Oreochromis niloticus: one gene and its partner. The protein of the gene in region 1 purifies or fractionates together with the protein of each later gene. This does not show direct contact. Links are inferred from orthologs where the notes say so. Each region holds a gene or a part of one and is shown on either strand. Other genes may lie near its edges.

Region 1 (7,721 bases):
ACATCGCTGAATCTCTGGTGTTGTCCAACCTTCTGGTGCTGCTGCACTCACTTCCTTCCAGTAAGAAGACACAACTGACTGTCATACTCTTTGTCTTTCCTCTTCTCCCTATCCCTGTAATGCATCTTCACACTTCAATACTCCTTTGTGTCCTTCAGGCAGGCAGATGGTGCTGGAAACCCTCTATGCACTCACGTCTAACACAAAGATCGTCAAAGAGGCAATGGCCAAAGGTCAGTGTTCTACTGTTTGTTTGTTTTTGTTGTTGTTTGTTTGTTATTGATTGCTGGCTACGTTTATCTGAATTTTGAATCACAGATGTTTCTGTTAATCTTTATGTCCTGCAGGTGCTCTGATCTATTTGCTGGACCTCTTCTGTAATTGCACACACCCCCAGGTTCGCACACAGACTGCAGAGCTCTTCTCAAAGATGACTTCAGACAAGCTGGTTGGGCCAAAGGTCAGATTGGAGTTAAAAAAATAAATGAAAGGCTTAATCAGTCTCATCTCCCTTTTACTTTATGATGCGTCATGACATATCGTCAACTCACTTTTGCTGTTTCATATTCTGCTTTCTCTTTTAGGTGCGTCTAACACTGATGCGTTTCCTCCCTGGTGTATTCATGGATGCCATGCGGGACAATGCTGAGGCAGCAGTTCACATATTTGAGGGAACGCACGAAAACCCTGAGCTCATCTGGAATGACAGCTCAAGGGAGAAAGTGTCTACTACTGTCCGGGAGATGATGCTTGAGTATGTGACAAACACTGTTTTAACCAGATAAAGAATAGTTAGACACTCTAATAGGATGTTTCATGTCTTGTACTAAATCACTTTAAATCTTTTCCAGGCACTTTAAACAGCAGAAAGATAATCCTGATGTGAACTGGAAAGTAAGTATGAGAACTCATTATTATAAGTTGGTGTATCTGTAGGAACTATGAATGTCAAACTAAACTCCTAATCTGTGTGCTCAGTTGCCAGAAGACTTTACAGTGGCTTATGGAGCCGGACAGGGTGAGCTTGAAGTTGGTGGAGTCTTCTTGCGCATCTTTATTGCTCAGCCTGGGTGGGTGCTACGCAAGCCTCGAGAGTTCCTGGTGTCACTTCTGGAAACCCTGACTGAGCTCCTGGAGAAGAACAATCCCAATGTGAGCTTCCTAACTGAGAAACGACTGTACAAATTTCTAGTGAATGCAGAAGTTAGACTTTTTCTGTCTTATTCTATTATCTTCTGCAGGGTGAGGCCCTGGAGACGGTTACCACAGCGGCAGTTTGTCTGTTCAGCACACAGTGCCAGCTGGCCGACCAGGTCCCTCCTCTGGGCCACCTGCCTCGGATCTTGGCGGCACTCAACCACAAGAACAATGCCGTGCCTAAGAGCTCCATCCGCCTCATCCATGTACTATCAGATAATGAGGTAAGAAACTAATTTTAATGCAAGACTACAAAAAATCAGAACCAGCCAGTTTAAATTTTTTATGTACAAGTGACACCTCACCCACATCAACTAAAATATGCTTTGTTTCGTGTAGCTGTGTGTACGGTCCATGGCTTCTCTGGAGACTATTGGCCCTCTGATGACCGGGATGAAGGTTCGGGCGGACATGGCTGGATTGGCTTGTGAAGCTCTCAACCGCATGTTCCAGAAGGAGCAGACAGACCTAGTTGCCCAGGTGCACTGTCACCTTTGTCACCTGTTATTATCCCTCACTGTGTTTCATGTGTCCTTAATGGAACTTTCTATAACAACTTAACAGGCTCTGAGGGTGGAGCTGGTTCCATACCTCTTGAAATTACTGGAAGGAATCGGCCTGGAGACGTTAGAAAACCCTTCAGCTACTAAGGCCCAGATAGTTAAAGCTCTGAAGTCCATGACTCGTAGTCTACAGTATGGAGAGCAGGTATGATCGGATTATTGAAGTCATCAAATGATTGGTATGATTTTTTTATATAACAATCAAATATTTAAACTCTTGCTTATTGCTTTTTTTCCCCACAGGTGAACGAAATTCTTGCAAAGTCTTCAGTATGGAGTGCCTTCAAAGACCAGAAACACGATCTTTTCATCTCAGACTCTCAGACTGCAGGTTACCTGACAGGTAAAGTTTTCCTTTTTACATATTAGAAGTGCTGATTAACCTGAATAACAAGCTAAACTGTTAAAATATAAAGTGCTTTAAAAGGTAAGTCTTCTGCATCTTTCTCTGAGCTGATGATGAATCTTAATGCTTTGCTTTACCCTAAAAAGCCAAAACACCTTATGGCTGACTCCTCACTTGTGCTTAAACCCAGCTGTCCTATAACTTCCTGGCTCTGCTCTTCCCTTCCTCTTTTTTCCTCCACATTTCCTCCTCAGGGGTTTCCACTCCTTCTCTCCTGGCCGCCAGCAGCCCACTGCGAGGTGGGCTCTAGACTCCTGAACTGGGCCCTCACAGCCCTCCTCTCTTTTGCTCTGATGCAGGTAGACTGTCCTGGCTCCTACCGTCATTCCTTTTCTCTTTACCTCCATCCTGGCTGCACATGCCATTCTCCATTCCCACCCATTTCATTTTACTCACACTGAAAATAATTCATTATCTCTTAACACCCATTCTGGATCCACAACAGTGTGTTGAAAACACAGGCAGCTTGTGTTATGTATGCAATATGTACCCAGCATTTAAAGAAATACAGATTTTTTTTAAAAAAAAGGCTGAAATGTAGAATTACAAGGGAAAAACATAGAAAATAGTTTTTAAAAAAAATCAGATTTTCTAGAAAATTATCAATTAGTCGTTTACATAGTAAGTAAATTAAGCCCATGGAAAACATTAAAGTCCCTGCAAAACATTGTAGCCAGTGTAGCGATCATCCCATCCATGCTTGATGTCTTAGTGTGTAGTACATCATTCTAGCTCCCCATTAGCCCTGCATCTATCCTTGTAATTTACATCTGAACTGTCTCTTCTGCCTTGCTGTCATATGTAGGTCCAGGAGTAGCAGGTTACCTTACAGCAGGAACGGGCACCACAGTAATGCCCAACGTCCCACCCCCTGTGGACAATGACACTGGAGACCAAGGCTGAAGGACACGCACAATGAAAGGCTCAGGCACCCAGAGTGCAGCTTCACGGCCGCAGCTCAGAGAGGGACTGTTCAGCTCCCCACATGGAGGGGATGTTGAGAGGAAAACAAAACAAAAGAAAAAAGAAGAGTGAGAGAGCGGGCCATCATTGACTGTCACCAAAACCTCTGCGACACCTCCTGCAGCGTCACTCTGCTTTGCCCCTTACAAATGACACTCAAGTCTTCAGAAATGCTTTGTTTTAATGGATGACCACATTTGTTTAGTTTCTGTTCTACTTTTCTTATTTCTTCTAATGACAGAGAAGACTTTACTTTTTGTATGAATATATTTTTTACTCTTGATTTTTTTTTTTTCATTAGACAGCCATGGGAAGACTGAGGCTTCTTTTTTGTTATTTTTTTTTTCTCTTTGGCATATCCTGATTGGCTACCTTAACCTTACATCTCCTTTGAGGCCTCATTTGTGACGAATAAGTGCACAGGACCTATCCACCACTGAAATAAACATTTTGTTTACCTGTCTATATTAACGCATTCTCATGTGGAAAAGAAAAAAAAAATCACGGGACATGAAGGATGTGTATGATTTCTCTGGCCTGTTTCTCCAAAAGAAAATGCCACTTTAACCCCTTAGACCTGCTGACCTCTGGTCTGCTTTGATCAGGTCACCTTCAGTCCTCTTCTGTCAAAGATGACACAGAGCTCTCATAATATCCAGCCTCTTTTTCCTCTGATCTTATTCATACTTCATTCTGCTCTCTCTTTGAAGGCTACTCTTTTCTGCCTCATATTTTTTAAAGTAACTCTCCCCCAGAATGCAAAAAGCACTAGAATATTTATGAGTGAATAATAACCACCTGAAATGAGCTTCTGCTGACATGACGAATGACATTGACTCTGATTACCAATCTATGTGAAAGACTAGTGCAATTTGTGAAATGTTCAATGTAATATTGCGTATATAAACTTTATATTGAATGTACATTGAAAAAAAAAATCAGTCGACACTTGTACATAAAATTTTAAGAATAAAAGGGAACCCACAGTGTTGTTCTACTTGTCTTTCCTGTTCACAATGTTTATAGATGTCAAGTCTGTTTATTGAGAGAGAGAGAGATGAAGGGGGGGCGTATATCAAAATATTTCTCAATCCAATTACTTTTGCAGTAAAATGTTTTTATACAAGAATCAATTTCATATATTTGAGACCTTGGGCAATATGGTTGTGCTTTGTTATAAACGCGAATGTTTTATAAAGTTATGTCGTTTATATTATGTCAGTCTATTTGAGAACCATAACTTTTCACGGATGTGGATATTGAATTTATAGTGGATTACACCAGCTACATAGATGCCATGAATTAGGGACTAGGTCTCACCTCACAAGCCTGACGGTAAGTCAAGGAAATTCATAAAAACTCAATACAGCTGCTATTGAGGGCAACATGAATAGGGAAAATGTGCTAAACATGACAACGGTTTTAATATATTTATGTCAAAATTTAAAAAAAGAAACAAAACAAGTCCCTTCAGTGAGGTTTTCAAGTTTCTAATTTTTAACACATTAATATATCGTTTATCATCCCCGATTCACTTTCTCGTGTCTGTAGCGGAACCTTTGAAACGTTCACTCCAGTCGGTCAGATTAGCAGGTAACGCCGGAAGTTGCGCCAAAGGCGCGAACACTATCAACAAAGATCACAATTTGTATCTCTAAACTGTTACGATTAAATTGTTTTAAAATGTATGTCAGTTAGTTAAACCCATATCTCGGGACTTTTGGTTGGACTGTTGGTTTAAGATAACATGAGCAGTGCTAGTTTTTGGATGTTTTTATGTTGTAACTGAGCTACATGCAGGTTTGAACGTTAGCTCGCAAGTTTATGTTGCGCAGCTAACAAAGTCAGTGTAGGCTTTCTAAAAAGTGACAGCAGCCTTCACAAGCTTCAACTCGCTGACAAGCCGCACTAACGTAAAACTAGCTCCCTATGACTAATCAGAGTTTATACTGATTCCCGTCGGAATACACAGGCTGTCTTTACTGGCGCTCTTGAGCTCTTCTATTAAAGGTAAGTAACTAGTAAGTTATTATTTTAAGCTAATAGCAGGCCAGTGTTGAATTTATGGCGGTGCTTAGTCATACCTTAATCTTTGTAGGTGATCATTTTTAATTTAGACGCTACTGCTAAGGCCAGCCACAGCCATTATAATAAATGCCAGGTCTTGTCACTGGTACAGGGTCACCATGTCTAAGGCAGAAAAAGAAGCCTTCATTGTGAAGTTTGTGGAAAGTGAAGGATCAAAAAAAGACTGTGCTGCCAAAGCTTATGAGGTAAGCTCTACTGCCCAGTCTTTCTTTTAGTGTTTACTGTCTCTTTGTTTTACAAATTTGTAATCATGTTTGTCTTCGGTTTATTCAGGCCATTTTGGAGCTGCAGTCTGAAAAACATTTGAAAACCATCACAGAAGATGATGTTTTGCGCATGGATAAGAAGGACAAGTCTCTGTTTGTGTTCACCAGTTTTACATCTCCAGCCTTTCTTCACTGCAAGAAGGTTGAACTATACACTTTTAAACAGTGAAATGTCACTCCTGAGGCTCTATCAGAGATTGACTCTTGTTTTTTGGATTTCCTGTGCAGCTTGGTTGCAGAATAGTGAGTCCACTGGTGGTGTTGTACTGCCTGCAGCAACAGCGTTGTGTCCCCAAAGCAGAGAAACCTGTCTATAACATGGCCATGGCTGATGTCACCATTTGCTGCACCAGCATGGACAGAGCAATACGGGTAAGAAATCCGGAGTCTGCTATATACATTTTAATGAAATATGAAGCACTGTGACATGTTTATGTCCATACTTTCTCTCACACTCCAGGAAGAGCTGATGGATCTGGTGCAGCTCATGGGTGGACGGGCCTATTCGGATCTAAACGTATCTGTTACACACCTGATTGCAGAAGAGGTGGGCAGCAAAAAATACCTGGTAGCAGCCAGCCTCAGTAAACCCATCCTGTTGCCTACGTGGGTCAAAGCCTGCTGGGAGAAATCACAGGATAGGTATGTATTGTGATTTACATGGCTACATCTATTAAATACATGAAGACTTGTGTTTCCTGTTTGGTACAAATTCACATTTTAAATCACTGTACATTTACAAAAACATGAATGATGTCTTTGTACTCCTTTTCCAGTCTTTTCAGATATACAGACCTGCCCTTAGAGGACTACCTTTGCCCTGTGCTGCGTGGCTGTAGTGTTTGTGTGACAGGTCTGTCCAGCACAGAGCGCAAAGAAGTACAAAGACTTTGTGAGCAGCATGGGGCCAACTACACCGGTCAGCTCAAAATGAATGAGTGTACACACCTCATCGTTAATGAACCAACAGGTAAGTCACCAGTATTTTAAAAAAGTGATGTAATGCCATCATTTGTGTGTCATTGATTGTTATCAATCGTACTTGGTTGTAGGTCAGAAGTACGAGTGTGCTCGGAAGTGGAATGTGTATTGCGTTTCTTTGCACTGGCTCTTTGACAGCATAGAGAAGGGCTACTGTCAAGATGAAAGCAGGTACACTGTGGAGCGCAATGCTTCAAAAACCACTCGGCCACACACTTCCACACCTACTGGTACCAGTAAGAAGGACGGTGAGTCGCATTTGATAAGATGAGAAAGGTTTACCACAATAATTCAGAACCTGTTTTTCTTTAATGATTAAAGAGTTATGTTTTTCATCTCCAGAGGGTCCATCACTGTTGGGCTTGAGCAACATTTCTGTGAACACTAGCAGGACAATAAACGACACGGCTCTCACCAATAACAGCACTGTGAGCCACCTGGAAGCTCCAGACCCCATAGAGAGTCTGGATCTTACCGTGTGCCCTGCTGATGATTTATTGGATGGCTGTAAGGTAAGTCGATGGTCTGCAGTTTTCTTTTTATATAGATTTTATGTATTTCCCCTTTCATTTCTGTAGTTGAATTTAGTTGAGTCTATAAATGATAAACTTAAGGCTTTCTGTCACTTTGTGTTAAATGTCACACAGCTGTATCTGTGTGGCCTGCCAGGGAAGAAACTGGAGAAGTTACGGCGTCTTGTAAATGCTGCAGGAGGTCTGCGCTTCAACCAACCCAGGGAGGAGCTCTCTCATGTGGTCATGGGCGAGCTGGACCAGGACCTCAATAATTTTCTTTCCAAAGCAACTCACAGGTCTGAACTACAGAGCTTTTAATAACCTTCATGATATTTATATCCTCTGTATTAATACAATAACTTGGAGATTCTAATGTTTCCCTTCATACCAAAATATGTTTGGTTGGACTGCATAATAATAATTTACACTAAAGGCTATTACACACTGAGAAATGGAGATTCTAGGTTTATCCAATTCTCAACAGAATTCAGCAACAAGGGAGAATTGCGTGGTTTGATCCAGGAGTCAAAGCTGGATCCTGGCTGCTTTTTGCCCACTTTAATATCCTTTCTGCATGTATTAAAACAGCAGCTTTATAGTAAAAAAAAGTCCAGATGCTAATGGGTCCATCACCCACTGACTCATTATAATACAAAAAGTAAGTCAAAGTAACCATTGAAGAGCTAAAATCTTATATTAAACAAGAATTTGAAACATTTGTCTTTAAAATAGTTGGTCGTCT
Region 2 (7,282 bases), on another chromosome or scaffold:
TTCTGCCGTGACAGTTATTCAGTGTCGAAATGTTTGCTGGGTACAGATGGGATATCTCATTATCATGATGCTGTTCTCCACGTGGCCCAGCTCTGCACACTCTGTGTATTGTGCCTATAGATCACATACTTTACTCACAACAGCTGAGCAGGTTATCTACACAGCCACTGTACAAATAGTCCACCACTCATCAGTCTCTGGCTCAGCTGCTGTGAAAGAGTTTTTCATGTGAGAATCACTTTGTGATTGTTTTATAAACTTGCAACTTTGTAAAGAAGTAGGGTTGAGGCTTAAAGGGAAGCTAACTGCACTCTGAGGTTCATTTCTGTGCATAGACGCCTCCTCTTGTGAGAAGAATCGAAACTCAATGCCTGAGAATTTTTCACCATCTGTTTCGGTCTTTGTGGTTTTGGAGCTGGCTCAGGCTTAAACAAACACTGGGAGCAAACATCAGTGTGTTAGGGGTCAAAGTCCTTGACTGTCCTGTCTGTTCACAGATCAAAATAGCACAAACACACCTAGTAAAACCTCAGAGAAGCATGTTATGACAAGATGACACAGACAGTAAGATGTGATTAAATGATCCAGTGTAATGGAACCTTTGAGCTTAGATGCTAGTGACCACCAGACCGTGTCTCTCTTGGGGTTTCTGGGTAAAACTGCATCTGTCGTGATGCCTGTTATAGCATATCACAACACTAAGATACTTTGTGGTAGAATTTTGTTGTTTTTGATAAGGAATTGGGTAAAGACACAGGATTGTCTTTGTTATACCTGCAAATTAAGAATGTGAAATTAACTTTATGCTGCCATAAAGTGCAGTGGCAGCAGCAGCCTTTCAGTTTAAACTAAGCCTGGCTTGATGTTGGCTGGTCCCATGATTAAATCATAGCTATCAAGAAGTTAAATATTACTTTGACTTTCCCATCTTTTCTGTGGTGTTTTGATGCTTTGATGATGTAAAACTTTGAAAAAAGTCACCACTTTATAGGTAAAACCTTCTTAAACTGCTGAGCACTGTTGTTAAAACAAAAGTGCAATTAATAGGGACTATTTTCAGCTGCGGATGAATAAACATATAACATTCCAGTAGTTTTTGGACAGCAGTGAAGCTCTGTGGCACAGAGGAAAACAGTATTTGTTTTGGTTTTGAACATATATTGGGTTTAGTGATTAAAAGTATATAACACCTCCAAGTGATTCTGTTAAATGAACTTTCATTAGTGCAAACAACTAAGCACTCCTCTTGCATTTAAAGCCAAGTTAACGTAAAACACATTGATCACGCTTATTTATTTTTACTTTATCGAATGCTTTAAAACTTTGTCTTCCTATAATATATGTTCAATGTTCCCATTTTTTGATTTTTTTTTAAATAACTTCTCTGTAAAAAGTTCTCCACAATATTAACATCCTGATGTAGCAGTGCTGCTTTACGCTTCTCACAGTTTTTCCAGTGCCTGCTTTGCTTTAAATGATAAAATCATCTCTGGTGTAACAGGACAGCTCAGCCAATCACGTTATTCCAAGTCACCATAACTGTAAAGCGAGTTAAACGAGTCTTCTCAGGCTTACTGTAGATGGGGTACTGTAGGTACTGTTTTAACCTCTCCAGGCGATGGTGCTACCCTCCCAGTGCTCCTGCTGGTCAGGTTTTTCTCTCCGGCATGTAAACTCCTCGATCGTAATCTCAGACATTTAACACTACAATTTGTGGTTCGGGCGTATTTTGAGTTTTTATTTATTTAATGTATTTTTTTTTTTTCTGTTTGTGTGTTGAACCGGCCAAAGTTTTGCACGGTTAACCCGAGCATAAAAGCAGCTGGATCTCAGTGGTTACAGACCAAACTTGGCATAAAGAAAGCGGATGAATTTTGTGCCTTTGTTTACTACGTTCCTCTCAGTTTATGAATGAAGTATATGCTGCATGTTATGGTGTATGCTCTCTGTCATGTAACTTTTTTTCCTTAATCTACCTTTTTTTTTGTTTGTTTTTGTTTCCAGTGTATTCACTTGTAAAGAAACTACACAGTGAATATGGCATGCTGCTTTTTTTTTTTTAACCTCAGAAAGAAACGTGTCATTTCCTTTTACTCAGTGGATTAATTGTTGGTGGACTCAAAAGTGAAGACGTGTGTGGATAATGTCAAATTTTTACAAAATGAGACAAGAGGAGAGAAATCGTATCTGAATTTCTTTGACAGATGTTTTGGGGTTGGTGTACAAGTATGTTTACTTTTGGGGGAATGCAGGATTTTACTTGAATTTTTAATATTTGTAACTTTAGAAGTGGTTAGGATGAAAATGGGAGCAAAGTTGTGGGTAAACTTTGAAGGTATGACTCACCCTGAAGTCGGACATACACATTTTTCCTCCAGCCTGTAGTGGTGTCTATAATCTTAAATAAAAGGAGCTAAATGTCCATAGTCAAAGAAAAAAATCTGAATTTTAAAATGTAATTTGGGGATCTCTAAGCTACAGAGTCAAGCACCATAAAGACAAAAAGATTTCTACAGCTGATTTCTACCAATCTGACCAACTCGTACTAGAATTGTCTTGATGAATAAACAAGGAAAAATCTGTAAGTTAGATTTTTGGGGTGAACTGTCCCTTTAAGGCAAAAAAAGTTCATTAGGCTGCTGCGTTTTCATAAAATCCTGCATGTTTCACACATATTTTTGTCATTGCTTCCATCCATTCTGTTAATTTATGTAATTTCAGGGCATTCAGAGTGATGTTGGGGGATTCTGCTGAGACTTTACTGTTTGCTTTGTTCATGCCATGATCGTACAGCTCATTCTGCTTATGCTTATGTGCTGTTTGTGTTGTGATGCTTTTAATGAATCTCCCCATGACACTGAATGATCTCTTGTCCTTTGTGTGTTTTCTTTGGAGTCAGCAGTCCTGGTTTTGAGTTTGTATGTGATGATGGATGATTAATAAATGAGTTTAAAACGCATGTGCATATCAAATTATGACACACCAGTATTTGTAGATGATGTATTGGGAGATAATGTCCTGGATATTGTATGTATTTACATATTGTGTGTGGTAATAATTCAGATTTTTAAACCTCTAATCAAAGCTGTCACGCGTGCCACCTCTCTTTTTGTAGTTTTTCACCTATTAAAATCAAACTGAAGCATGTAGTTCTGCTGGTTGCCAAAAATATAGAAACAAGTCTCCTCTTTGGAAATTATTTTACGGTATTTTAAGTAATGACTTCCCAGTGTAATGGACAGTTGGTGGGTGGATAGTTTAGCAGACGTTAGGGTGTGTAAATCAGATTCAGGTAGTGACACACAAAAAAACAATTGAACACACCTTTTTTTTTATATATATAATAGAATTCAGTTCGACTTGTTTTGTGAGTTTGCGGGAGAAGTTTTCTTTCAAGGCTTTTTGCCAGACAAGCTCATGAGATACATTTATATAATATTTAAGTGGAAAGAGGTGGGGCAAAATCCTTTCCAATATGTTTTAATCTAAATCAATGAAGTACTTCTTAAAATTTCAGTCTATAACAGCTTTTATCATTAAAGTGTAAAAATGTGTGATGACTGCCACTTCTATAGCTATGCCAATGACAACATCTTTAATAGTACATATTTGTAAAGTGTGTGTCACTACTGAGCTCCAGATTTACATTAATAAATTTATGCTCGGTTAAGTGAACCTCTCATATAAATCCACATTTTTTTCTGTTATTGTAACCACACAGTGGAAACTCTACAATTTTGTGAATGTGTGAAGTGTGTGCATAAGTCATTGTTTTAGAATTTTTACAGACTTAAAACAGTATGGTACAGAGATCATAGTTAACTCTGTGAGGTTTTTGCTTTTTTATTAAATTGTTTAATCTATATCTTTCTCCAAAATATAGAAGTAGAGAGAGGTTACCATCTATAATTATTTATAATATTATAAATTCACTCTTGAGGTAATATAAATGTAAACGCTAATGTTAAAATAATATTGTGTTCTTAATAAAGTCTAAAGGAGTTTACACATATTATAAAAACATCGTTATGACATCGTTTTAAATAAATTAATAAATATTTCAAATCAATATAAATAAAGCTATAACTTTATTTCAGCTCTTTTTAGTCCCAGCACTGCTCTGTTTTCTCAACCTGGTAGGCGTGACTTCCGGCGTTTGACGTTGCTGATTTTCTTTTCTTTCTGATTGGTCGGGAGTGACGTGTAGATTTGGCGCCACATTTCCAACAGGGAACAGAGCGGCATCGCTGTGTGTGTATTGTCAAAGCTCCGAGCCTGACAGCAAACCAAAATAACCCGCAGTTTATGCCACCTCAGGGTGATTAGATTAGGCTCGTCTTATTTCAATAGTTTTAATCGACTGACTTCTCTGAAAATGTTCATCGCGGACATAAGAAAAGATTTTTATGAAGTTGTCGCCAACCAGGTAAGGCTAACTCTTAACATTAGCCAACATTGCCTAGCAGCTAGGAAACTTAACATCTGACATCGCAAACTGAAATCGCTTACATTATAAACCTTCTCGTGCTACTTACAGAGAGTCGTACTCCTGGTGGCACCAGACATTGACGCTCTCTGCGCCTGTAAAATACTGCAGGTAAGACAATAAAATGTTAGCAAGCGGCAGCTCCTGTAGCCTTTGCGTGCACAGTCTTTGATTGTTTTTCCCTGTTATTTTGCCTCTCTTGTTCTAGTGGCTTTTATGCATGATGACGGATATTTGCGCTCTTAAACTAAGGTCATTGTAGAGGGTAAACAGAGAGCACGCTGATTAAATACTTCTAGTTATTATGGACTTATGGACACCCAACCGTACTGTCGTAATGGGGAGGTTACCATCTGTTCATGTGTTAACTGGGAATATTTAAAAGTACTGACAGTAGGTTTCAGTAAGTGCCTGTTGCAGTTTATGGAGCTTTTTTGACTTTTACTGTGTTCAGAGTAATTATAAGCTGATGTAAACACTGACTGCTTGTGTCTTCACTAGGCCTTGTTTCACTGTGACCAGATCCAGTATACACTTGTGCCAGTTACAGGCTGGCAGGACCTTGGCACTGCCTTCCTTGAACACAAAGAGCAGGTATACTTAAATAAGACCAGAAGGCTGTGCTGCAAAGCGAGATTGACGTTAACACGTTATTTTAAGCCAGTATGAAGGTGTCTCTCTTTTAGCTTTTTGAGATCACCATGGAAACGTTTGCTTTTTTTATGTGTTTCTGCTTGAGAACCTGAAGAGGAAAGCTTTGTAGTACACTACTCTGAGCCTGTATATAAATATATGACAGTAAACACTGAACCTTGTGTATTGTGTTGGCTGATTTTTGTGCTGCAGTTTCGATACTTTGTTCTCATCAACTGCGGAGCAAATGTTGACCTCCTTGAGATGCTGCAGCCAGATGATGACTCCATCTTCTTCATCTGTGACACTCACCGGCCTGTAGATGTGGTCAATGTCTACAATGATACCCAGGTGATGTGCAATGGTTTGCTAAATCAGGCTACATCCCCACTAATAAGTTCACATAAGTTCACGGGCTAGGGTCTACCCCACAGAGCCTCAGAGTGGCACAGGGATTCACTCAAGGCATGAGAAGAGAAGGATCAGATGGTGTCAGGGCTGTAGGACTCAGCTCAGTGGCAGAAGTTTGATGAGGATGTGGATGCAGTGTTCGACCCTACAGCTAAAGGGGACGTAAAAAGTTTTCGAACCATGATGGCCATCATAGTGAGCATGGTAGTGGAGACGTTTGGAGTGCAAGATGAAAGAAAGGCCAAGTTGATGTATTATTTTAAAGCAGAAGGGGGAAAAAACAATTCTGTATATGTGAATTAAAACCCCCCCCAAAAAAACATGCTTCTCACCTCATCAGTCTCATCAGTTTGTCTCAGGAGCCAAATAACAACACACACATTTCCTCCAATTCTGTTTGGCGATGTGTATAGTCTGTCCACTGGTATGTGTGTGTTTAACAATATTAACCACTAGTTTGCCTGTAGAGCCAGGCTCTTCAGAAGGTGTTTGTGACCATTGCTTAGTCCACAGGAGAATAGCCAAGGTAAAGAAATGTAAAACCTTTACAAGCATCAAAGTCCAAAACTTTAGAAATAGTTGTTGTTAAAATAAGTCCAAAATACATAAATCAACCATTTTTACTCCACATTCTCTCCAGCATCTCGGTAAAGTGCCCAGCTAGTTAAGTATAAGATTTTTCTTAATTTCTGTGACTGATAATGTCCAGCGGGCAAAGTTAGCGTAGGGGCCTTTAAATATGTAGATAAAGTCTCCTTTTTGCCCATCAGGACTACAGATGGAAGCACCCTTGTGTTATTGTGCTGTACTGTATTTGCATTCTGGTACAAAACCTCAAATAGTTCATTATCTTTATGCATTTCACTGTAAACAATGATCCATTTGCACCTGAAGTTCATTGCATGTAAGATTAACAATACTCCCACTTGTTTGTGGAAGTGAGCGTTACATTAACTCTCTGTCTTCTGCTCAACAGATTAAGCTGCTCATCAAACAGGATGACGACCTCGGCGTGCCGTCGTATGACGATATCTTTCGAGATGAAGATGAGGAAGGAGAAGACTCTGGAAATGAGAGCGATGAAGGCTCAGAGCCGTCTGGGAAACGCAGGAGATTTGATGAGGTACGCATTAAACCGAGTAGGTGCTGCCCGCTGGAATGAACTGGTAGAGTGAACTGTTAAGGCTGTTACACTGGGGCTGTGGTCCTGTGTTTGCAGGGGGCTGTCGAAAGGAGAATTGAAAGGCAGCGAGCGAAGAGGGAGTGGGAGGCTCGAAGGTGAAGTGTTTTTACTTAGTTGTTTGGTTCTTTCTCTGCACAGCACAACTGTTGAATGCAAGCTTACCTTTCATTAATTTCACAGGAGGGAAATCCTGTTTGACTATGAGCAGTATGAATATCACGGCACCTCGGTGAGTTTTGACAACCTCACATGAGTAATATAGGAACATTAATGTTACCTGAAATTCTGAATGAACTCCTGAATTTTCATTTGTTTTCCTGTCAGGCTGCGATGATGTTTTTTGAGCTTGCGTGGGTTTTGACTAAAGATACCAAGGACATGCTGTGGTGAGCTTTCTGAGGAGATGTCATCTTTCATGGCAAACATTCTTGAGATACAGTTTATACGGTCTGTTAGATGTGCACTGCTTCTTCTTTGCAGGTGGGCCATCATTGGGCTGACAGACCAGTGGGTTCATGATAAAATCACAAAGTAAGGATGCCCTCAGTTTTTCAAAACTATTATCAAAA

Evidence for each region. Proteins that work in one complex are often made in the same cells at the same time.
Region 2: the proteins of topbp1 (region 1) and cdc45 purify together in Homo sapiens (affinity purification with western blotting; 3 studies listed by BioGRID and IntAct, with this or other methods). This does not show direct contact. The link is inferred for Oreochromis niloticus from reciprocal best matches to the Homo sapiens genes TOPBP1 and CDC45.

What each region holds. Positions count from the first base shown.
Region 1 is NC_031974.2:14,184,525-14,192,245, forward strand, and holds the start of topbp1 (DNA topoisomerase 2-binding protein 1), read left to right. Parts: upstream 1-4,706; 5' UTR 4,707-5,139; intron 5,140-5,308; 5' UTR 5,309-5,315; coding exon 5,316-5,402; intron 5,403-5,490; coding exon 5,491-5,625; intron 5,626-5,711; coding exon 5,712-5,855; intron 5,856-5,943; coding exon 5,944-6,125; intron 6,126-6,259; coding exon 6,260-6,453; intron 6,454-6,535; coding exon 6,536-6,712; intron 6,713-6,806; coding exon 6,807-6,976; intron 6,977-7,111; coding exon 7,112-7,275; intron 7,276-7,721. Other genes in the region: dnajc13 (dnaJ homolog subfamily C member 13), read left to right, coding at 1-60, 159-233, 348-460, 585-754, 852-894, 979-1,152, 1,242-1,421, 1,537-1,677 and 3 more. UniProt on the Homo sapiens protein: Scaffold protein that acts as a key protein-protein adapter in DNA replication and DNA repair. Composed of multiple BRCT domains, which specifically recognize and bind phosphorylated proteins, bringing proteins together into functional combinations.
Region 2 is NC_031977.2:25,784,631-25,791,912, forward strand, and holds the start of cdc45 (cell division control protein 45 homolog), read left to right. Parts: upstream 1-4,184; 5' UTR 4,185-4,375; coding exon 4,376-4,426; intron 4,427-4,537; coding exon 4,538-4,597; intron 4,598-4,987; coding exon 4,988-5,080; intron 5,081-5,332; coding exon 5,333-5,470; intron 5,471-6,506; coding exon 6,507-6,653; intron 6,654-6,749; coding exon 6,750-6,808; intron 6,809-6,893; coding exon 6,894-6,942; intron 6,943-7,037; coding exon 7,038-7,099; intron 7,100-7,193; coding exon 7,194-7,244; intron 7,245-7,282. UniProt on the Homo sapiens protein: Required for initiation of chromosomal DNA replication. Core component of CDC45-MCM-GINS (CMG) helicase, the molecular machine that unwinds template DNA during replication, and around which the replisome is built.